Arabidopsis thaliana: one gene and its partners. The protein of the gene in region 2 interacts with the protein of the main gene of each other region in a pairwise test. Each region holds a gene or a part of one and is shown on either strand. Other genes may lie near its edges.

Region 1 (5,650 bases), about 18 Mb from region 2:
AAAAAAAAGTGTATTTTAGTGACATGATCAAATCAATTATTTTAAACTTTTCTTATCCACCACCACATTTCTAGATTTTGGAATGATTAAAAAATGCATACATGATGTTTTTATAAGATTTTTACGGTGTTGGTTCTATTTTGTTTTTCTTATTGCCATTTTTTCGATTATTAGTGTTTTGTATGTTAAACTTGCCGATTGTTCCAATTACTATAATATAACAAAAACAAGTTTTAGCTATCGATTTTTCCAAAGTTTTACAACGAAGTTTTTATAAGTTAACATGAAGTAATAATAGTATATGTTTTAAAATTATACGTTTTTTTGTATGAAATTAAATGTTACATTACACTATTAAAGATTCCAATAATTAAAACACATGTTACAATGAGTAAATTTTATTATCAGACAATAAACATCTCTTTGCTCTAAGAAGAAACCTATGCTAGTGAAGCGTTGACTCTGGAAAGATGCAAGTGCAACGTGTCGCTGAAACATTGAAGGCGCGTGTAGAAAAATGTTAAGCTAAAGGGAAGTTCACTTTCTTTAACCAAGTTTTGCGTTTTGCAAATTACAACTAAAGAATCCACTAAAGCTAACCCAACTAAATTCAAACATTTTTCTATGTGATCAGTTTACCATCAAACTATTTCATATTTTTGCAATGTGTAGTAAAAACTTTCTTTGTTACATTATATGCTTCTTTTATAAGCAAAAATACCATATTACATTACATGTTCATTTCATTTTTGTTTGGTATTTGCGCTTACAATTTACAAAATGATTTTGTTTGATACTATTTACATTTACATGTGAAATTATTGTGTTCATCGTAAAACGTTCAAAATTTCTAAAAATTGTAAGAAATTATTGTAAATGTAAACAAAGTCGGTTTCCTATAAAACCACACGTCTGAACCACCTTAATCATCATCACAACATGAAATTACAAAAGCAGCGACTTTGTCGATTGCCGTAGTTTCATTGTAGCATAGATAATCCCGTCACGTGATGTTATCTATTTTTAACTGTTTCAATGTAGTCAGAAAAGCTATTTGTTTGATTTCAGAACTGTTTGATTAGTGGCCATTGAAAAATTCTATAATCTATAGTCAATAGTCTATACACAATTGAAAATGGTATAGTTGATTTTTTAAAATACGCCATTAAATAAAATTATATATAGAACTTCTCTATAATCGATAAAGTCGAACACTCCAGGCAACAAGCGGACCGACCACGGAGTCTAACGTAAGAGTATTATTAGTGATACTGTAGGTTTTCTTTGACTAACGATAAAGAAAAAACAAACATGTTTAATTTCTCGTGTCCTCTATATTCATGAGTCATGACGTTCATACAATTTATTCTTGTTTTAAATGACGTTCATACATCATTTTCATGGTTGTCTATTAGTTCACTAGAAAAACGAAGTCTTGAACGTTGAAGCGAAGCATTGAATATCATTTTATAATTTTATGGACTAAACTATACATTTCAATCATCTTTGCAAAAAAGAAAAAAAAAAATGAGTTAGATCATAAGGAGTCAGGACAACAGCTAGCACAAAAATCTCAAAATCCTATACTGTTTAACCCAAAACAACCGTAGAACAAATATTATTATACACCCAAAAAAAAAAACATATTTGCAATCACATTAGTTTGTAAACACTTCTATTTCGTTCCATAACCAAAAAAAAAAAAAAAAAAAAATCAACATTCAATTTTTTATTTTAAAACATGTTTGCATATGTTCATGGTATGACATTGGGTATTAATCTATCACAGAGAGCTAAAGCCCATATAAATAATAACAGAAGGCCCATATCTATTAATAACCAACTCTTAACCGGTCCATTCTAACTGTTTTTCTCAAATACAAAACACGTGGATAACACGAGGAATTAAAATTGAAGTTAAACACCACACCATGTCGCGTACGAAGCTGCCACATCACTGTTCTATTAACACGTGGCTTAATATGATGCAATATAGACCCACCGATAGCTGGCGCTTTCTAGTTTACCAAGGTGCGACGTACCAGATAACACCACCTCTCCACTTTTGAAAATTAAAACGCTCTCTTTTGGTAATTATTTAGGGAAACTTCGATAATTAATCGAATAATGAAGGACTAATTTGCAGTTTTAAGGAAATAAGTAAGCACACACGTTAGAGAAGAAAGACCGTTCCAGATTGCCACGTCATCGTCTCCTCTCAACGAGTTTCTGCAAAACCTGAAACGTGCTGCACCTTGCCTCTCTTTCTCTCTCTTCCTTCGTTTCTCTCTCGATTTGAAGAGAGAAAATTCGTTCGATTTCGTTTTCTCTTCTTCTTTTGGATTTTCCCGGAAAATTTTGGAATCGGTGAGTCTCTATCGATTACTGGTCAACCATGAATATCTTTAGATTTGCTGGCGATATGAGTCACTTGATCAGTGTCTTAATCCTTCTTCTCAAAATCTACGCGACGAAATCTTGCGCTGGTGAGTTCTCTCTCTCTCTCTCTCTTTCATGAAATGTGTTGTGTATATTTTGAAGACGAGCTCGTAGACGAAACAATCGCATTTTGCTTTGACCTTTTGTTTTCCTTTCCATAGCTTTCAAATGCAATCTTATTTGAATCCTGTTGAGGTCTATTTATCGATTTCGAGGCGAATCCGAGTTGGTAGATTGAAATTGCAAGTCAAAATAGTTGTGAAATCTCAATCTTCGAAACCACTATGGAATTTCTAAACGAGTGAGATCTCTCACCCCTAAATTGCATTAGGTTTAACGGAAAATTGCTACACGGAATGGAAAATGCTTGTAGATGCTCATGATTTTCTCATAGATTGTGCAGCTCCTAACATTGTTGCTGTTGACTTTTGGATTTTGTTGGCTAGGAATCTCTCTCAAGACTCAAGAGCTCTATGCGCTTGTGTTCTTGACTCGGTACTTGGATCTGTTTACGGATTATGTATCTCTGTACAACAGCATCATGAAGATTGTCTTCATTGCCAGCTCTTTGGCTATCGTTTGGTGTATGCGTAGGCATCCACTTGTGAGGAGGTCATACGATAAGGACCTGGACACATTTCGTCATCAGTATGTTGTGTTAGCGTGTTTTGTACTGGGACTTATCCTGAATGAAAAATTCACAGTTCAAGAGGTATTTTCATATGAATTTCACATTGCTTTTGTGTTTTTAGGTTGTAGAGACTAGGAAAGCGAATACTTGTTGTTAGAAGACATGCATATGTTGTGTAATCTTGTTTTTGGTTTATTTATTCATTTGATTCATTCGGTTCCTTCTTCTTATATCATTTGGATTTGGTAACTATCTTGGCTAGTGTAGAATAGAATATCGTCTATGTAAATGAAACTGAACATAACTCCTTCCAGAACCAATTAGGAGTCCGGCGTTTATAGTTTTATTTTTGCTTGTTTAAACGTTGTACTACCTATGTAGCCTCTCACTCGCTGATTGTTTTGAGAAACTCTTTGAATATCAAACTGTTGCATCGTGAAAGGTTTGTTTGCTTCCATTCATGGAATCTTCTGTGTCCTACCTACCTATGTTCCATAAGGTGCCCCATGGATTAGTGTCATCTGTATCTCGCTGTTACTTTTCTGGCCATTGTGTTCTTTGATTATCTTGTCATAAGAAACTGTAGTGACTCCTTATATGCACTTCACTAAGATCGTTTTCCCTTACTACCTTCATATGTATTTTTCCAGTATATGCTCTTGGTAAAGATCTGATCTTTGCAAACTGCCTTCACTCTTTAAGTATTTTTGCAGCATTGTGGCCTCTCTGTGTTGATAGCCAGAATCATTGTGCAATATGTTAATTCTGTGCATTCCAAACCATTTCAGGTGTTCTGGGCGTTTTCTATCTACTTAGAGGCAGTTGCTATCCTTCCCCAGTTGGTTCTGCTACAAAGAAGTGGGAATGTCGACAATTTGACTGGGCAATATGTTGTCTTTCTCGGGTACGTAATTCTAACCAGACATATGCGTTTGCTCACTTGATCTCCACTGGCTTCTCTGTTGGGTTTGTTTTTAGAATTGGTTTATCTTATATATATACTGTGTCTTTCACTGCTCATGCACTTGTTAACTTGATCAATGAGAATCGCTCTCCAGTGTCATTGTGGTGTTTAAAAATCAGTGCATATTTCTAAAGTCCAGACATTGTTTTCCGTTTAATGTTAATGCGTCTGGAAGCTGAGCTGAACTATATTTTTTTCTATAAAGGAAATCAGACTGCTTTACATCTTGCTATGCATTTGGTTCTGATGCATACCTTTGTGTCCAGTGCACAATATTTCAATGTGCAAAATTGAGTAAGTATTCTGTATGCACTCACATGGGCAATGATTAACATGCAGGGCGTATCGGGGACTCTATATTATCAACTGGATCTATCGCTATTTCACAGAAGATCATTTCACTAGATGGATTGGTAATGTTTCAACAAAGAAGCACTAAATGCATTTTAACCATTTGTTTTTCCTCAATGCTAATGTTTTACGTAAATCCATTTTCCAGCTTGTGTGTCTGGTCTTGTCCAAACAGCTCTCTATGCGGATTTCTTCTACTACTACTACATAAGGTAAAGTAACCTCACCAGTCTGAATAATATTCTCTTTATAGTTACTGATCATGTTACTGACTTTGGATCCTTTTTGATTTTGTTGTAGCTGGAAAACCAACACCAAACTTAAGCTTCCGGCTTGAAAAGAACCCGAATTTTTTTGCAATAGTATCAAAATCCAGGAAGTTACAGCAATGGTGACATTAGAAAAGAAAGACATGGTTAACATTTGGGTCCTCCCTCTTTCTAACAATGAGTTGAAAATTGAATGATGCAGGATTGTTGTTTAAAATGTGTTTTTTTTTTAGTCTTTAATGCACATTGTAACTTTCCCGACGATTTTAGACATTGAGAAGAGGCATCGTTTTATCAAAACTAGTCTTTATAGATAACACACAAACTCTGTTTCTTTTGTGCGAGTGTTTAGTTCAAAACTGTAGCTCAGATCAGAGCCAAGTTAACAATGTGTCTTCAAAACTTAAACCTAGTCTTCTTGATTGTGTTTCACTATCTTGGTCTTCTTCTTGTGCTCTCGTGTCTTCTTGCTTCTTAGCTCGTCTTTCTCTTCACCTTCAGAGACTTTTTCTCTACTGCGTTTCTCTTTCTTTGACTTTTTTGTTTTGACCGGAGCCTTCTCAATCTCGTCTTCATTCTCCTCATCGTCTTCACCCTCAAAGACTATTTCTCTACTGCGTTTCTCTTTCTTTGACTTCTTTCTTTTCACAGGAGCCTTCTCTGTTTCATCATCTTCCTGGTCCATGATCGTCATCTTCTCCTCTGTGGCAGCCTCAGCCACTGTGTTTGCTACAGCTGTCTCTGCTTCAACCATGAATCCAATCATTTTACAAACATACTAACAGAGGAATACAAACATAGATGCGATTTGTGAACGGCATTAGAAAACAAACAAACCTTCTCCAGAAAAGCCCGAGTCGAATACAAGACCTGTAAGATGCTGCTTCAAGAAAACCTGCAATAAAACAATGATATATAAGTAAGACTCAACTTCACCAAAAAAATACTAGTCCAAAGGTTGAAGAGCATACCGCAGAAATGAGCTGGCGTGTCTTA
Region 2 (6,933 bases):
AGAATTTGAAATAGTTAACCAATTGAAATACCAAATTTAGAAAACTTGAGCAACAAAGTCGTTGTAGTATAGTGGTAAGTATTCCCGCCTGTCACGCGGGTGACCCGGGTTCGATCCCCGGCAACGGCGTATTTTTAATTTTTTCATATTTGTTTTTATTTTAGTCCCTTTGTTTTCAGTTTCTTTAGTTTTAGTCCCTCATATTTCAGGTTTGTTTGTTTTAGTCCTTCTCTTCTTTATATTCAACTTCCCAATCCGAGACAAAGTGAAATCACTTAAATAGTTTACTTTCCGGTTCCGTTCTTAAACCTTCCGACGAAGCTCCGGTAGAGAAAACCTCTCTTCACCTCTCCCATTCTCGGCAGCCATGTACGGTGGAGGTAGGTTTTATTTTCGTCCTCTCTAAAATCTCTCTCTGATTGTACAAATTCAGCATTACTTCTTTCCCTTTTCGCTTGAGCTCGTCTCGTAAAGGTGTAAACTTTTCCTTGGTGGGGTTTCTTATATATTGAACAGACGAAGTGTCAGCTATCGTAGTAGACTTAGGTTCTCACACTTGCAAAGCTGGTTACGCCGGAGAAGATGCCCCTAAAGCTGTTTTCCCTTCCGTAAGTCTCATTCTTTACTTCCTCTCTTTTCAATTGGTTAAAGTTAGGTCCTTTTAGTGTAGAGCAAGCAATTCGAGAAATTTAGGTTTTTTGTTGTTGCTGTTGTTGATGTGTTATATAACTTATAAGGTTGTTGGAGCGATAGATGGAAATGGAATGGATATTGATGATGCTGCAAACACCACGGAGGATGCAAAGGAGTCTGATAAAGAAAAAGGCAAAAGGAAGCTTTACACAGGATCTCAAGCTTTGAACTTTCGCCGCGATCAAATGGAGGTCAGTTTTCTTTATTAAACTTCAAAATGGTTAGGGATGAAGATAAATTTTCAGGTCTCTCTATTAGTTGACATTTGTCTGTTCCAGATATTGTCACCTACAAAGGATGGCATTGTAACTGATTGGGATATGGTGGACAATGTATGGGATCATGCTTTTAGGTAATTTGCAGAATCTGTTAGTTTTTGTCTTTAACTGTTTAATCTTTATCTTTTCCATTTATAGTTGATTGATGATTTCATCTGTGTAAATGTTTATTATTCAAGGAATTGTCTAATGATTGATCCCACGGAGCACCCAATGCTACTTGCAGAGCCTCCTCTGAACTCACAGCAGCAGAGAGAAAAGTCTGGTTTCTCTACCTTTTATCGATGCTGAGTTCATCTTGGATTAGGAACAGATTATTCTGGTGGAACATCATCAATGCAGTAATTGAAAGAACGCCTCGAGAAAGACTTGGTAGAAGTAAGGTAGTATACTGGCATCGTTAGGCTCATTCCAGCAAATGTGGTTCTCCAAGTCTGAGTAAGTAACACATTGGATTGCTCTCTAGATCTCGACTCACGTATAAACAGTGTCTTCTCATCGCTAGGGTTTGAGTCTTTTTGTGTACATGACAGGTATGCAGAGCATGGAGCTTCTTACATCCAGAGGAAATGCCCTTAAAAGCTGCTTGAGATCAAGATAACGAGAACCTTTGGAGACAGTCAGAGGGTTTAGGGATTAAGTAATTAGTATCTTTTCATTTATTTAGGCAAATATTAAACACTTTTTTATTATTATTATGAAGCTTTAGAAATAGCTTCGTATAATATAATGTTTCAACGTTAACATACAACAAATGTACTATTTTTCTAAGTGAAAACAACCACAAATGTACTTGTGTGTTTGCCTGTTTGGTAAATCCACCTTCTCCGTTATCCAAAAGTCGAATTTACGTGTCGTAGTTTTTGTCACATTCGTCATTATCCAATAACACATGTCCACGTGTCACCATTTTCTGGTCTCTGGACGGCAAGAATCGCCGACGTGCCCCTATTTAATCGGATTCTCCCATTTTTATTTTATTTTCGTCAGATTCTCTCCAATTTTGTTTTTTCTTTTTAGATTTTTGATTCTCGAATCGCGGCTCCTGTGGGTCTCTGTGTTTTCCTTATTTTGAGTTCGGATTAAATCTCGATCGCGATTTGGTCCAATATCTCCTAGCATCGAGAGATTTCTATTCTGGCTAAATTTTGTGTTTTCTCAGGTGGATAAGAAATTTTCTCTTTGTCGTTTTCCTCGATAATTTTCGGATTACGGCGACGAATCAGATTGTTTTTTGGTTTCAAATTTTCTGATATTTCCAAAAAAACAAAAAAATCTGATTTTTGAGAAAAAAGCAATGCAACGGATCGTGGACAACGCTCTCGCTGTAACCAAAGAGTGAGTCTTTTTTCTTATCGATCATCAGTGGATTCATCTGTGTATGCGCCTATAGTTGTTCTAATGTTTCATAAATGACAAGTAGAGATTTTTAAGTTTTTGATCGTTTGGTGATTATAGTAAGTCTCTTTGTTAATTAGTATTGGTAGATTGTGTTTTTGAGTTTTGTTAGACCATTTTATTCTAGTATCTTCATTCAAAGCTTCGTCTTTTAGAGTTGATGTTGGCTATGAACTTTGAGTCGGTGAAATGACTATTTCTTTTTTTTTGGTTCGTCTTTTTGTTAGATGTTCTTCTTTTCCCTTATGTTGTCTAACAAGCTTAAACTAAATAAGCTTTTTGATTATGTTTTGGCTTTTAGTGCAGATCAGTAAAAACTGTTACATATGAGTCTTTGAATAACATTGCGAGGTGCATAAATGGAGTATCAGCTCTTCTGTTGACCCTTCTCCCAGGGAAGGCTAATATTCTTGAAGGCTTACATGGCTGGGAACTCAGGCCTACGTTTCGTGGACCACGTTTACCACGGTGGATGCATAAGTAATAATTTCTCATGATTCTTCTGTTGTTAGTTTATTTGCAAGCCTTCAAAATATGCTAATTTTACTCTGTTTTTGATGGCAGTGGGGTCTCTTCTTTCAATGAGTTCATTCATGAGCTTTCTGTTGATTCTGATACTTCAAGCTTGGAGTATTCTTCTGGAGAAGATAGTGATGGTCCTTTGCCTCCATCACCATCATCTCAAAGCTCACGCCTCTCTTGGGCTAGCACTTCTGCAAGTTCTGAAAACCACTGGACAGAGTGGATTACGTTCATTCTTTGGTGGTTAATGTTTCCTGTACGGATCTTGCTATGGATACCACAATATATTATAAGTTTATTCTATAAACGAAGTTCAAGAATTCCTGCGAGCCCGAGAAGGCACCAACATTCATCTAGACCTCGTATTAGCAAGACCAACTCAAGCAAAGACCATGATGTTCCCAACCGAACTACTGATAGAAGACGTGGGGTTATTGAGGTTTGTGGATGCACGAACAAATATTCAATGTTACAATCATTTTTGTGATTTTAAACCTTTTGACAAACTCGTCCTACTTAATGTGCTTTATTTTTCAGGATCTTCATCTTGCTATCGAGATCGGCATAGAAGCAATATTTGATTTTTTTCACAAGGCTACGCATCTTCTTCTTTCTCCATCAGAAGCTTTTGCAATATTGTTATCATGGTTCTCATCTTCCAGTCGCAGCCCTAAAGAAAACCATGGTGAGGTTGCTTATGATGAAACTGTGCAGACTGCTACTTTAGGAGATACAGATCCATCCCCCACGGAAAGGCCCGTTGAAAGTCCCACACGTTTATACAACTCTATGAACACTGATACTCGAACGTGTCAAGATGTCATAACAGAGTTGGGGTAAAGGGGCAGATTCGATGTCTCATGCTTCCATTTTTTTTTTCTCTTTCTCAAGTAGTTGATATTTACTTGATTTCTCTCCTACTCTTGGTAGGTATCCTTACGAAGCTATTCGTGTTATTACATCTGACGGATATGTTCTTGTCTTGGAAAGGATACCAAGGTATAACTTTCTTGTTAGATATTAAGCTCGCTTGTGCATGCTTTCCATTCCTGTTACATTGTCTCTTAATGTGATCGTTGACTACTCTTGTCTTTGCAGACGTGATGCAAGGAAAGCTGTTTTTTTGCAGCATGGGGTTTTGGATTCTTCAATGGGGTAAGTTTCATGGTCTAGTTCTTAGATGACTCGTAAACTTTGGAAACTTAGTAAGCTGAAAAGTTGAGGAAGTATTATTTTCTATATCCATGTAGCATAACATTCCTAGGCGTTTCAATGTTCCTGACTCTTTACCCAAAAAAAAATTATTTTCATAATTTGTTCCCTTCAACTTTGCGTGTGTGTTTGATTTGCTCAAGACACAAAAATGGATTTGGGAAAATCTTTTGGTGCGATTAGGAGGGATACTGCTTTCAGTTACTTTAGTTATCTCATCTTCTTTTTTCCCTTTCCTTCTCTCCGATCCTTCTTAAAGATTTAGTTTTGACTTGGAACATCCTATAATCCTCTGATGTTTTGATCTAATATATGTCCTATGAAACATTATTGATTACTCTTTTTCTCTACTGCGTGTTTTTCTTCAGATGGGTATCTAATGGGGTTGTTGGATCTCCGGCTTTTGCTGCGTATGACCAAGGTTCAAGCCTCAAGTTTTTCATTTTCCAATCTTTTATTAATTCACATACGGCAACGATTTATCAGCTTCTTACACTCTTTTCCTTTACAGGCTATGATGTTTTTCTGGGTAACTTTCGGGGTTTAGTTTCAAGAGATCATGTGAACAAGAACATATCCTCAAAAGAGTGAGTTATTGCTTTAAAGTTCACTTCTTACTTAATCTACATGCACTGTCTGGTTTCTTTATGATAGTGGAGTTTCATCATATGTATATATTTGCAAGTTGTACAAATGTTCATTGTTATTGACCAAAATGCAGGTTCTGGCGATACTCCATTAACGAGCACGGTACTGAAGATATCCCAGCGATGATAGAAAAAATTCATGAAATAAAAACTACAGAACTCAAGCTCTGCCAGCCCAATATCGATGAAGAAATCAACCAGGAGGAGCCTTATAAGCTCTGTGCCATCTGTCACAGTCTAGGCGGTGCTGCAATTCTGATGTATGTTATTACTCGAAAAATCAAGGAGAAGCCACACAGACTCTCACGACTAATCCTACTTTCACCTGCTGGGTTTCATGAGGACTCGAACTTAGGTTTCACAATAGTTGAGTACATATTCCTTTTCATTAGTCCAGTTTTGGCTCGCATCGTGCCTGCCTTCTACATACCGACAAGATTCTTCAGAATGCTTCTGAACAAGTTAGCCCGTGACTTTCACAACTATCCTGCTCTTGGTGGATTGGTCCAAACTCTAATGAGTTATGTAGTTGGTGGAGACAGCTCGAATTGGGTCGGAGTCTTAGGATTGCCTCACTACAACATGAACGACATGCCAGCTGTCTCCTTCCGTGTGGCGCAACATCTTGCTCAGATCAAACACACCGGTAAATTCAGGATGTATGATTATGGAAGCAGATCAGCTAACATGGAGGTTTATGGCTCTCCTGAACCGCTTGATCTAGGGGAGTCTTACAAGTTCATCGATGTGCCTGTGGATTTAGTAGCGGGAAGGAACGACAAGGTGATCCGTTCCTCTATGGTGAAGAAACACTACAATGTGATGAGAGATGCCGAGGTCGATGTATCGTTTAATGAGTTTGAGTATGCTCACCTTGATTTCACATTCTCTCACCGTGAAGAGCTTTTGAGATATGTGATGTCGCGGCTTCTGCTTGTGAAACAGACACCAGTTCAACAGAGGCAGACCAGTCAGAAAGGTATGAAGTTGAAGAAGAAGAAAAAGGAGGGTACAGTAGTGTAGTAGCTGAAACCGATCTATGGCCAATGTTCAATGCCTCGTAGAGTTTGGTGTCTTTGTATTGTGATGTTGTGTGTAAGCTTCATGTGTGTGTTCTATGCCAGTATCCTATGGCTTGGCTATAATAGTGTACATATACCGTAAAGATTGATCCCTTGATGAAATGATCTTGTTGTGAGAGATGCTTTTTTCAGCCGTATGGTATATAATAATGTTTCTAGTGGTTTGGTTTCCATGAAAATGATATGATGTCATGAAAGATGCTATGAATCCAGAAAATTCCTCCTTTCCATTGGAAGATCTGAAGAGACCAATTAATCATATAGTTGGCGAATCTTTGCATACTTTGACATAGAACTTCTGTAGGTCATACAGTTTATTCATTTGTCGTAATAATATAAATCATAGTTACAGTTACATGTTTAATGGATCCAAGAAGGATAAATTTATCTGGTTATAGAGTTAAAAATACAGCAGTGATCAGTGATTTCGGTGTTGTGTGATTCTCATGTTTCAAAAGAAAAAACGAGTAAACAATTAGGGAAGATGAAGAATTTTTCTCTTTTTTCTTTGGTACAGTTCAAAGAATGAAACAGAAAAGGGAAGAAAAGAAATCAGAATCCTCATGGACGCCGTAGTGAAGAAGAGCATTCATTGGAGCTCTGATGGATCTTGAAGAAGAGATGCTCTTTGTGGATTTAAAAGCAGAAGTTGCTGCATGTCCTTTGGAAGCACACTGAACACCGCTTGTAGATCCTTCTTCAGTTTCTGAAACGTTCCTTCTGAATCTGCACCTCCTCCTGATTCCAGCGACTGCAAAATATATGTTTTCGATATGTCATAATGGTTCCAAATCTGCTGAAGAGAGAACTAGTTTATGTTTATCATTACGTATTCTACCTAACTATGCAGATATGTACATCGCTAACAAAATAAAATCTATCTTTACATCTCTCAGGCATGTAAGTAATGTTTACATGGGAGTGTCCAAAGAAAAGAATCTAGCACAGAAGTAACATGAACATGAAATTAAGAGTCTAAAGGAAGGTAAACTTACCTTGACTTCCTCACTAATGTGTTTCTCAATGGCATTGAAGGAATCCACAGCTTCCAATTCATTCATCTGAGACGTAATCTGCCTCATATCAGTCTTCATTCTAGCT
Region 3 (4,304 bases), on a different chromosome or scaffold from region 2:
TGTGACTAGACCTGTTATCGCTTGTTCAGTCACATCTAACGAAGCTAGTCAATTGAAATCACAGATTCAACATCTCAAGGTAACTTAGCCCTCACTTGTGTACTCTCTTTATAACCTTGAACCATCATTGATTCCACAGAATTGGTTAATCATTAACTCTTTTTTTACATTTCTTCAGGATGCTATTGAGAAGCTTCTGATCTAAGGCATTCTCTGAATTGATTGCTCGGTATGATGGGTCTCCGCGAATGGGAAGGCTTTGACTGAAGTTTTGTTTAGGCAACTACCAAATCAAAAACCGTCCATTATTCTACTATCTTCTCTTCAAGTTTGTAACGTAATTCACTTTTCTGCAACTTGGTTTCTTAAGAATTTGTGTTGGTTTCTGGTTTTGGTTTGTAGCGAATCATTGTGTTATTTATAAGAACTTGTTTTGATATCTATCACAAAACGAACAAAAAAATTGAAATAAAAATTGAAGGACTTGAATTGAGATTGAATACGAAATCAATTGGTCTGTTGCATTATGCAAAGTCTTACCTTGAATTGAGATCGAGTCACTAGTATCATTTGCAGTCATCATTTCTTCTTGAAGAGGATTATGAACTTGTATATGTAGTAGTAGAGAACTTGAAATATCTAGCATATGACTTTGGAAAAGAAGAAATCAATAATTAATCTGAAGTGGTATATATTACATCAACTACAACACACCCAACACAGAAACAAAGTTACATTGCAGTTTTGTGTAACCTAAGGACTTATGACCGACCAAAGATGATATCCAGAAACATGATCCTATAGTTTCTTCTGCCTTTTTGTGTACATTGATGATAATGTCTTGTTTAATCTGTTAGCTTCTTCTATTGTATAAAAAAGTGGAATAGAGCGAGTGTGCCTCTGTCTCACTCTCTATTTGGCTTCTTGCTCCAACAATGGAATCTTCTTCCATGTCTCATCTAAGCCATTTAACTGTAGAGGCGGCAATGAAAACACACTAACAGTAGAACTTCCACTCCTGATCTCCTTCAAAACCCGCAAGGCAGCGATTGTGCTCTTCATATGAAGACTCTCCATGAACTTATGCTCTGATAACTCTGCTTGGATAATCTCAGACTCAGTTTCGTTAGCAGGGAAGATCTGATCAAGCATTGCCTCAGATTCCTTGACAAGCTTGAACAATAAGTCAGTAGTGTAAAAAGGTTGCTGAAGAACTTTCTGGATGAAAGGTAAACGCATGAGATCACCAGTTCTTTTGTCATACTTCTTCAGTATCTTAACCAATCCTGTTGTTTCAACAAACCATTCATCAACGTTTTGTTCTACTACTAATAATAAGATTAAGTCTTAATGAGGCAATTAAATTAAATTACCAGTGTAATTAAGAGCACTGTAATTCTCAAGAAGAACCATTTCTCCATGGAAATCAACAATCTCCTTCCTGATTTTTATCATCTTCTCCATTGAATCCTTAGCTTTCGCAATTCTATCTCTAAATTCCTGTTTTTGTACAGACAGAGACACATTAGAAAAAGAGATGATCATTTTTAGGAATCGGATTCGAAATGTTGTTTATATTACCTTTAGTCTGATGATATATTCTTCTTCCTTCTCAACGAAGAAATTGTTGAATTTCTCCAACTCGTCTTCTAACAATTGGATGAAATTGATCTCTTCTTTCGATATTCCGACGGAAAACTCATCTAAACGGAGTCGTTTAACGGGACGATCGGCGGTTTTGGAACCGATGAGTTTGAGTCGTTTTTTGAGTTCTTTGTAAGACAAGAACTTGTCTTGCCATTCAGGAAGAGTTTGCTCGATCTGATTGCTGAGACTCTTACCAAACTTCATAGCTCTTTTATTTTCTGGGAAACTTAAGTGAGAATGATGAATGAAGAAGAAAGAGAGGGGGAAGAGGTTTAGAGATATAAAAGGGATTAAAAAGAATATTCTTAAGGTTTCTAATTAGAATATCCTTTTTTCTCTGTCTTTCTTTCGGGAGAATATCTTCCTTTTATTCCTTTCTTATTTATTACTTTTTCGTGGTTATCTGTGGGTGAGATTATAACACATGCCTATGTCAGTTCATAAATATCAATCACAACTCACATGCCAATTTATTTATCCAATACTTATTATTACAGATTTGCTGTCCAAAAAAAGAAAAATAATATTACAGATTTTATATCCATTTATCTGATTCATTTTTTTCTAAATTCGTATGGGTATCGTACTAATATCTTGATTCATTTTCTTTAGAGTTTGTACTGTATTCATCTGATATTTAAATATTTTACGATATTAGATTTCCTTATTTGGTATTGTCTATATATGTTCATGATATCTTCATAACTATGTACAGTATGTATTAAATCATCTTTTTAAAAATATATGTCTATTTATACATGCAGATACACTATGTAGTAGTGATTTTTTATTTTTTTTGCATTTTTAGATTTAATCAAAAACGAATTGCAAAGTAAAAAAAATGAATATTGGATATAGTATTTACAGTTACAGATATCCTCAAATCCAGCTCAGATTGTCGTCATGACATAAATACGTGGACGTTTGGTCTTCATGATCATATCTGTCTCTCCATGATGATGGCATGATCAATAAATAGTAGTTCAATACTACAACTAGTTTGACAATTTACCCACTTTTGATTTTCTGAAAAGATTTAACAAATACGCAAATGGGTCAAAAGTAGTTGGATTCCATGGAATATTCTTGATAGGAAAAGGGTATAAACCTCGGCATCTTTCAATCTTTCTTTAAAGCACCCCCCAATGGACAATTTATTGAATTTTCCCGATTCGCGTCTTAATTCATTCACATTTGCTCATTATTAGCTTCTGATTTTGACATTTAGGATAAACCACCGGTCCATTTGACATTGTCTATATGCAGCAAATTCTGCTGATTTTACAACTTGTCAATTTATATTTATTAAGAAGACTATCAGTTTATTAGTCAAACAACCAAAGTCCAAATCCTTATGACATGGTCGTCGTATTCTTTACAATCTTTGACGGATAAACTAAAACAATATTTACTTTGCCGTATAATCGAAACTTTCGTGTCTCTGTCTCATTTCTGGGTACGTATGTAATTAATGTATGCAAGCAAAGTAATCCATTGTTGGAGTTAAGTTCCCTCCAGTAGCCCAAATGGAATGGGCCTCGTTAAGTCAAAGTTCCATAATGAAAAAAGCCTAAAGAGTGAAAAAAAAATCTGAATTTTAACCGAAACAAATTTAGTTTGGTTCGTAAATAAAACCAGAACCAAACCGAACCGACAGTACCAAAAAAGAACCGATTGTTAAATGAAAGCGAACAACCACAAGAAATAAAATAGAGCAGAAAACTTTTTTATCAACGATCAATGGCTACCGTTAATCAGCAGCTTTACCGGCCAATACTCACCGCCGTCGGAAGTGACTGCCGGCGGCATGTAACCACCCGTTTCCTCCCTGTTCCGAGACGCAACGTAACCACTCGTCTACGGCCAATTTTGAGTCTTGAGGTGGGCAAGGAAGTGGCTTCAGCACCGTCGACAGTGAACATGGAAGAGCTCGTCGGATTCTTGTACGAGGATCTTCCTCACCTTTTCGACGACCAAGGAATCGATAAAACGGCGTACGATGAGCGCGTGAAGTTCAGAGACCCAATCACTAAGCACGACACCATCTCTGGCTATCTCTTCAACATTGCTTTCCTCAAGAATATCTTCACTCCTCAGTTTCAGCTTCACTGGGCTAAACAGGTCTTTGCTAACTTTTGTTTATCATTTGATTTCTTTAATTCTAGTTTTTTTTAAGTTCACTGATGCAGCTGATATATAGACAGGTCCATATGAGATCACTACGAGATGGACAATGGTGATGAAGTTCATACCTTTACCATGGAAACCAGAACTTGTCTTCACTGGATTATCAATCATGGAAGTTAATCCTGAAACTAACAAATTTTGTAGTCATCTGGTATGTATGGTTGCCATGTCCTTCTTCCAAAATCTATTGTGGTATGGTCTACTTATTACAAGTAGATGTTGTGCAGGACTTGTGGGATTCTATCAAGAACAATGACTACTTTTCTCTTGAAGGTCTTGTTGATGTTTTTAAGCAGGTTGCTTTCTTGGCATTTGGCATGAATTGAGCCCCCTTAGAAATGGTTAATCATATCTTACAAGTACTACCTTTTTTTGCAGTTACGGATATATAAAACGCCAGACTTGGAAACTCCAAAGTATCAAATACTGAAAAGAACAGCAAACTATGAGGTCACATATCTTCATGTATT
Region 4 (4,951 bases), on a different chromosome or scaffold from region 2:
CAAAATTTGAGTGGTGAGTGTTTTATAGGGAACCAAAACAAGCCTAATAGCTTTCCTTGCAATCCTAGAACATATACAAACTCTGTTCTTTGACACCACAAAGACTAACTTAAAGATTCTCGGTCCTAAACTCCATCTCCAGGCATCCATTTTCTATTACTTCTTCCCCTGGAGATGATTATCTCAGCATTCACATTCGTCAGCGCGGTGATTGGACAGAAGGGATTAAGAAGGCATTCTCAGTGGTATGTCATGCCCCTGAAGCTGGAAAAAGCGGACTTCTCAGAGCAGATGTACCAAACCAAAGAAGGTGCATAAAATTCTTTAAAATTCAATATATTATTCTCAGAATGTGAATTTTGATACTCTCTCTTGTAATATAGTTTTCCAGAGCTGTTGATAGATGGACCTTATGGCGCTCCAGCGCAAGACCATTGGAAGTATGATGTGGTATTACTGGTTGGCCTTGGAATCGGCGCAACACCTTTCGTTAGCATTTTGAGAGATCTACTCAATAACATTATTAAGCAACAGGAACAAGCTGTGAGTATAACAAGCTTAAAAACCTTGTTGATGAGTAACAGAATCTCAACTAAACTTTTTTGGAGTTATGTTATATTCTCAGGAATGCATCTCAGGTAGTTGTAGTAACAGCAACATCTCGTCGGATCACAGTTTCAGTTGCTTAAACTCAGAAGCTGCGAGTCGGATTCCGCAAACTCAACGGAAGACGCTGAATACCAAGAATGCTTACTTTTACTGGGTAACACGAGAACAAGGCTCGTTCGATTGGTTCAAAGAAATCATGAACGAGATTGCTGATTCAGATAGAAAGGTAAAAACAATACACTTATTCATTTTAAATTCAAAAGATTGTATGATTTCAAGTTACTCACTGACGTATTTGTCTTGTGAACAACTACAAGGGTGTTATTGAGATGCACAACTACTTGACTAGCGTCTACGAAGAAGGAGATACTCGATCCAATCTTCTCACTATGATCCAAACGTTAAACCATGCCAAAAATGGCGTCGACATTTTTTCAGGAACCAAGGTAATGATCTTTAATGATTAGTTGATTACTTTATCACAAACAACACTCTTTTCTGATCTTGTATAACAACTTTTGGTTATTTTAGGTAAGGACACATTTTGGGAGGCCAAAATGGAAGAAAGTTTTATCAAAGATTAGCACCAAACATAGGAACGCAAGAATTGGTAACACACAGAAACATCAGTTCACTGAAATGATATTCGATATCGCGGTGTATATTTGCCTTGTCTGAAGAATGTTTTTTTGTTTGTTACAGGAGTGTTCTATTGTGGAGTTCCAAGTTTGGGGAAGGAACTTTCAACACTCTGCCATGAATTTAACCAGACGGGAATTACCAGGTTCGATTTCCACAAAGAACAGTTCTAACTGGTAAAAGGATTAATCCCCCACGATTATGGTTTTTTGAATGAATGAATCAATGTTCATGTTCGTTCTCGTATCCTACTTGTTGTGTTTTCTTTTCGTTTTGTGTATCACAAATACCAACTTTTAACCATTTCATCTAGAGTAGGACTGTTAAAAAATGTAAAAAGTCACAGTTAAAGCTTGTGAAGAAAAAAAGAGTGTAAAGGAGTAAAAATGAGAAATTCAAACAAAGGGGGATGATGGGATCATTGGGATGATTGGTTCTGTCTGTTCAATTGTTTTCAAATTTGAGCACTTATTATTGGGCCTGTCTTTGAGCTCTCTTATTATTATGGGCCGATAACTAGTTTGGCCCATTTGGTTATCAACTTGAAAATGAATGAAGAAAGCTGGGGAAAAGGGTCTTTTTAAACCCGAACTGACTCAAAAGCCTCAAAAATTTCACTGTTCCTTGGTTCTTGACCGGTTTAGAATCATGGTTTCGGTTTTGAATCATATTTGCTTTCTTGGACATGAGAAAGTAACTGGGCTTCATCATTGTTTTAGCTCATTGGGCCCATATTACGACTCGAGCTAACGCTGTCAAGTTAAATGCTTTTTCACTTTCTAGAGCATTCTTTTTTAAACACTTCTTTTAACCAAGAGACGGTTCCTACTTCTCTAATATTTTTATTTTCTAGTTTTTTGGCCAGCAGCAAAATATTATTTTAATTTAGTGTCAAGATAATTAAATTATCATTGTCTTTTGAATGCAGACCGAAAGTACATGAGTCACATAAGCAAGCGGCTACGATTCAACCACGTGTCACATGACCACCGGTTCGACCGTTTCTTTGTCCAGCCGCGTGACACCTGAACCAGAAAAGTTTAATAGCCATTTTAATAACAGAGCCGTTAATTACACGTGACTTAAAAAGCCGTTATCCTTAACAGCGTTAACATCTCGGTCCTGTGAAAACACTTTTTATATGTCCCCACGACATTTATCTTTTCCTAAGCATCGCTCTAGTTAAGGAAGCAGCAGGTTTGGATCCGAACCAACCAACGGATCAGATCAGAAACAAAATATTCAACGGCTCAGATTTATTCTAATTTTCCTCCTTTTATTGTTGGTTTTTTCATTCGACTTCGAGATCTTTCTTCTCAGAGGTGTAACGAAAACGCTAGAACAATAACTTTGATCGTTCTTCTTCTTCTCTTGAATCGGAAACAATGGCGGATGAACATAAGCATGAAGAATCTTCACCTAATTTGGATCCAGCAGTGGAGGTTGTAGAGAGGGAATCGTTGATGGAGAAGTTATCGGAGAAGATCCATCACAAAGGTGATTCGTCGTCTTCATCATCATCAGATGACGAAAACGAGAAGAAGTCTTCGTCATCGTCTCCAAAGTCTTTGAAATCGAAGGTTTATCGTTTGTTCGGAAGAGAGAGACCTGTTCATAAGGTTCTCGGCGGCGGAAAACGTATGTTTACTCTGATCCCGTTTCGATATTTGTTCTCAGTTTTTTAAAACGAATTCGTTTGCGTTGGCTTGATCTGTTTGATTTTCTCACTAGTTTAAGGGATCCGTGAAGAAGATCGTTTGAATCTACATAGAGGTTTACATTGATTTGAATTCGATTTCGATTTTGATTTCTGACTAGTTTGAGAGAATTTGTGATGGAATTGATTTTTTTTTTTTTGGAAATGTGTATAATGATCTTGTGAGATTCTTGTAGTTATTGATGATATGGTTCTTATTTCGTGATTGATAAACCCTAATTTGGTGATCTTTTTAATTGCAGCGGCAGATATATTTATGTGGAAGGACAAGAAAATGTCAGGAGGTGTATTTGGCGGTGCTACAGTGGCATGGGTGCTATTTGAATTGATGGAGTATCATCTTCTTACTCTGTTATGTCACGTTATGATCGTTGCTCTTGCTGTGTTGTTTCTATGGTCTAATGCCACTATGTTCATTCACAAGTAAGTTTTGTGGTCAATCATATGAAACAGGTCAAGGTTGTCAAGCTTATTTGACTCATCTTCGTTACCAAATTTTCATTCTCTTTCAGGTCTCCACCAAAGATTCCTGAAGTTCATATCCCTGAAGAACCTCTTCTTCAGCTTGCTTCGGGTCTTAGAATCGAAATCAACCGTGGGATCTCTTCTCTTCGTGAGATTGCGTCGGGGAGGGATATCAAGAAGTTCCTCTCTGTATGTTTAAACTGTCCTGGACTTACTCGTTACTCCTCTCTCGATGTCTCACTTAAGTTTGACACTTATTGTACTGTTTGATTGAATTAGGCTATTGCCGGATTGTGGGTTCTATCGATCTTGGGCGGCTGCTATAGTTTCTTGACATTGGCATACATAGGTAACACTTACTGTTGCTAAAAGTATTTTGCTTCTGCCTTCTCTCTTATTCTGACATTGCTGATGAACGGTTATTGATTTGGTCCAGCTCTGGTTCTGCTCTTCACTGTTCCTCTTTTCTACGACAAGTACGAAGACAAAGTAGACTCATACGGTGAGAAAGCAATGGCTGAGTTGAAGAAGCAATACGCTGTGTTGGACGCAAAGGTATTCAGCAAAATCCCAAGAGGACCGTTGAAAGACAAGAAGAAGGATTAGTTTTTTTTGGGGTTTTTGTTTTGTGTGGGTTTTCTTTGGAGTGCAATGTGCACAATGCTCTGGTTTTTATACACGTGGGTTGTGTTGTGTTGTGAATTGGTAATCTAAAAGGTTATGTGTTAGATCTCAACCCAAATTTTACTTGACAACTTTGCTTTGTTTTTGGAGTGGTTTGTGGCATTAGCACAATGATTGTAGTCGTTCTCTTGATCTATATTTTTAATGTACTGATTGATTTCTGTGTTTCTAATATGGTACGTTACTCAAATATCGTTTTTTCTCGATTATATATTTGTAGTATGTCTTGATATCAAACAAGTCAGGATGGCCGAGTGGTCTAAGGCGCCAGACTCAAGTTCTGGTCCTCGTAAGAGGGCGTGGGTTCAAACCCCACTTCTGACAATTTAGATTTTTATTTTCTCTGAGCTCATTTTTTAAGTGTTTGTTACTTTATTTGTCCAAAAAATAAAAATATAACATGTTTGTATATTTACTGGTTATATATATGTAATAAGTATGAATATTAACAAATGTCAGTATGGCCGAGTGGTCTAAGGCGCCAGACTTAAGTTCTGGTCCTCTTACGAGGGCGTGGGTTCAAACCCCACTGCTGACAATTTATATTTTTGTTAATTTTAAATTATAATTACCTTCTTTTTTCTTTCCTTTATACTATGTTTTCTCATTTAACCATGTTTTTGTTTTTTCTTAAACGGTCTTATGTTTCTCAGGTAACAATCAGCTAAATAAGTAACTAGTTAAAAGTTAAAACGCTTAAGATCAATTTGTATCAAATGGTGAATCCTGAAACATAATAATATAATGGGTTCCACTTCTTATCTTTCAACAAAATAATTGTGACAACAGGATCATTTCACAAACTTGTCATAATTGTTTTGGTTCAACACATGTTCT

Evidence for each region.
Region 1: the proteins of AT1G73920 (region 2) and ERD2 interact in a two-hybrid assay, tested with the Arabidopsis thaliana proteins (one large-scale study listed by BioGRID).
Region 3: the proteins of AT1G73920 (region 2) and SPX1 interact in a two-hybrid assay, tested with the Arabidopsis thaliana proteins (one large-scale study listed by BioGRID).
Region 4: the proteins of AT1G73920 (region 2) and BTI2 interact in a two-hybrid assay, tested with the Arabidopsis thaliana proteins (one large-scale study listed by BioGRID).

The regions. Positions count from the first base shown.
Region 1 is NC_003070.9:10,257,652-10,263,301, reverse strand, and holds ERD2 (ER lumen protein retaining receptor family protein), read left to right. Parts: upstream 1-2,069; 5' UTR 2,070-2,395; coding exon 2,396-2,486; intron 2,487-2,493; exon of another isoform or gene 2,494-2,740; intron 2,741-2,885; coding exon 2,886-3,151; intron 3,152-3,858; coding exon 3,859-3,974; intron 3,975-4,373; coding exon 4,374-4,447; intron 4,448-4,533; coding exon 4,534-4,597; intron 4,598-4,685; coding exon 4,686-4,722; 3' UTR 4,723-5,054; downstream 5,055-5,650. Other genes in the region: AT1G29320 (Transducin/WD40 repeat-like superfamily protein), read right to left, coding at 5,064-5,398, 5,492-5,549, 5,626-5,650. UniProt on the Arabidopsis thaliana protein: Required for the retention of luminal endoplasmic reticulum proteins. Determines the specificity of the luminal ER protein retention system. Also required for normal vesicular traffic through the Golgi. This receptor recognizes H-D-E-L.
Region 2 is NC_003070.9:27,788,926-27,795,858, forward strand, and holds AT1G73920 (alpha/beta-Hydrolases superfamily protein), read left to right. Parts: upstream 1-1,811; 5' UTR 1,812-2,268; coding exon 2,269-2,309; intron 2,310-2,670; exon of another isoform or gene 2,671-2,675; coding exon 2,676-2,849; intron 2,850-2,933; coding exon 2,934-3,330; intron 3,331-3,428; coding exon 3,429-3,727; intron 3,728-3,821; coding exon 3,822-3,890; intron 3,891-3,989; coding exon 3,990-4,046; intron 4,047-4,471; coding exon 4,472-4,524; intron 4,525-4,614; coding exon 4,615-4,690; intron 4,691-4,824; coding exon 4,825-5,773; 3' UTR 5,774-6,003; downstream 6,004-6,933. Other genes in the region: ARP4A (actin-related proteins 4A), read left to right, coding at 368-380, 517-608, 738-884, 972-1,045, 1,198-1,375; AT1G73930 (polarity axis stabilization protein), read right to left, coding at 6,422-6,583, 6,828-6,933.
Region 3 is NC_003076.8:6,799,976-6,804,279, reverse strand, and holds SPX1 (SPX domain-containing protein 1), read right to left. Parts: upstream 1,999-4,304; 5' UTR 1,852-1,998; coding exon 1,582-1,851; intron 1,501-1,581; coding exon 1,374-1,500; intron 1,287-1,373; coding exon 913-1,286; 3' UTR 625-912; downstream 1-624. Other genes in the region: AT5G20160 (Ribosomal protein L7Ae/L30e/S12e/Gadd45 family protein), read left to right, coding at 1-79, 179-205; HBP5 (SOUL heme-binding family protein), read left to right, coding at 3,388-3,768, 3,848-3,985, 4,062-4,130, 4,213-4,284. UniProt on the Arabidopsis thaliana protein: Plays a positive role in plant adaptation to phosphate starvation. Inhibits PHR1 DNA-binding activity in a Pi-dependent manner.
Region 4 is NC_003075.7:6,837,261-6,842,211, reverse strand, and holds BTI2 (VIRB2-interacting protein 2), read left to right. Parts: upstream 1-2,175; 5' UTR 2,176-2,633; coding exon 2,634-2,886; intron 2,887-3,207; coding exon 3,208-3,388; intron 3,389-3,477; coding exon 3,478-3,619; intron 3,620-3,709; coding exon 3,710-3,779; intron 3,780-3,866; coding exon 3,867-4,036; 3' UTR 4,037-4,301; downstream 4,302-4,951. Other genes in the region: AT4G11230 (Riboflavin synthase-like superfamily protein), read left to right, coding at 1-13, 143-310, 384-543, 626-835, 927-1,055, 1,141-1,219, 1,312-1,421.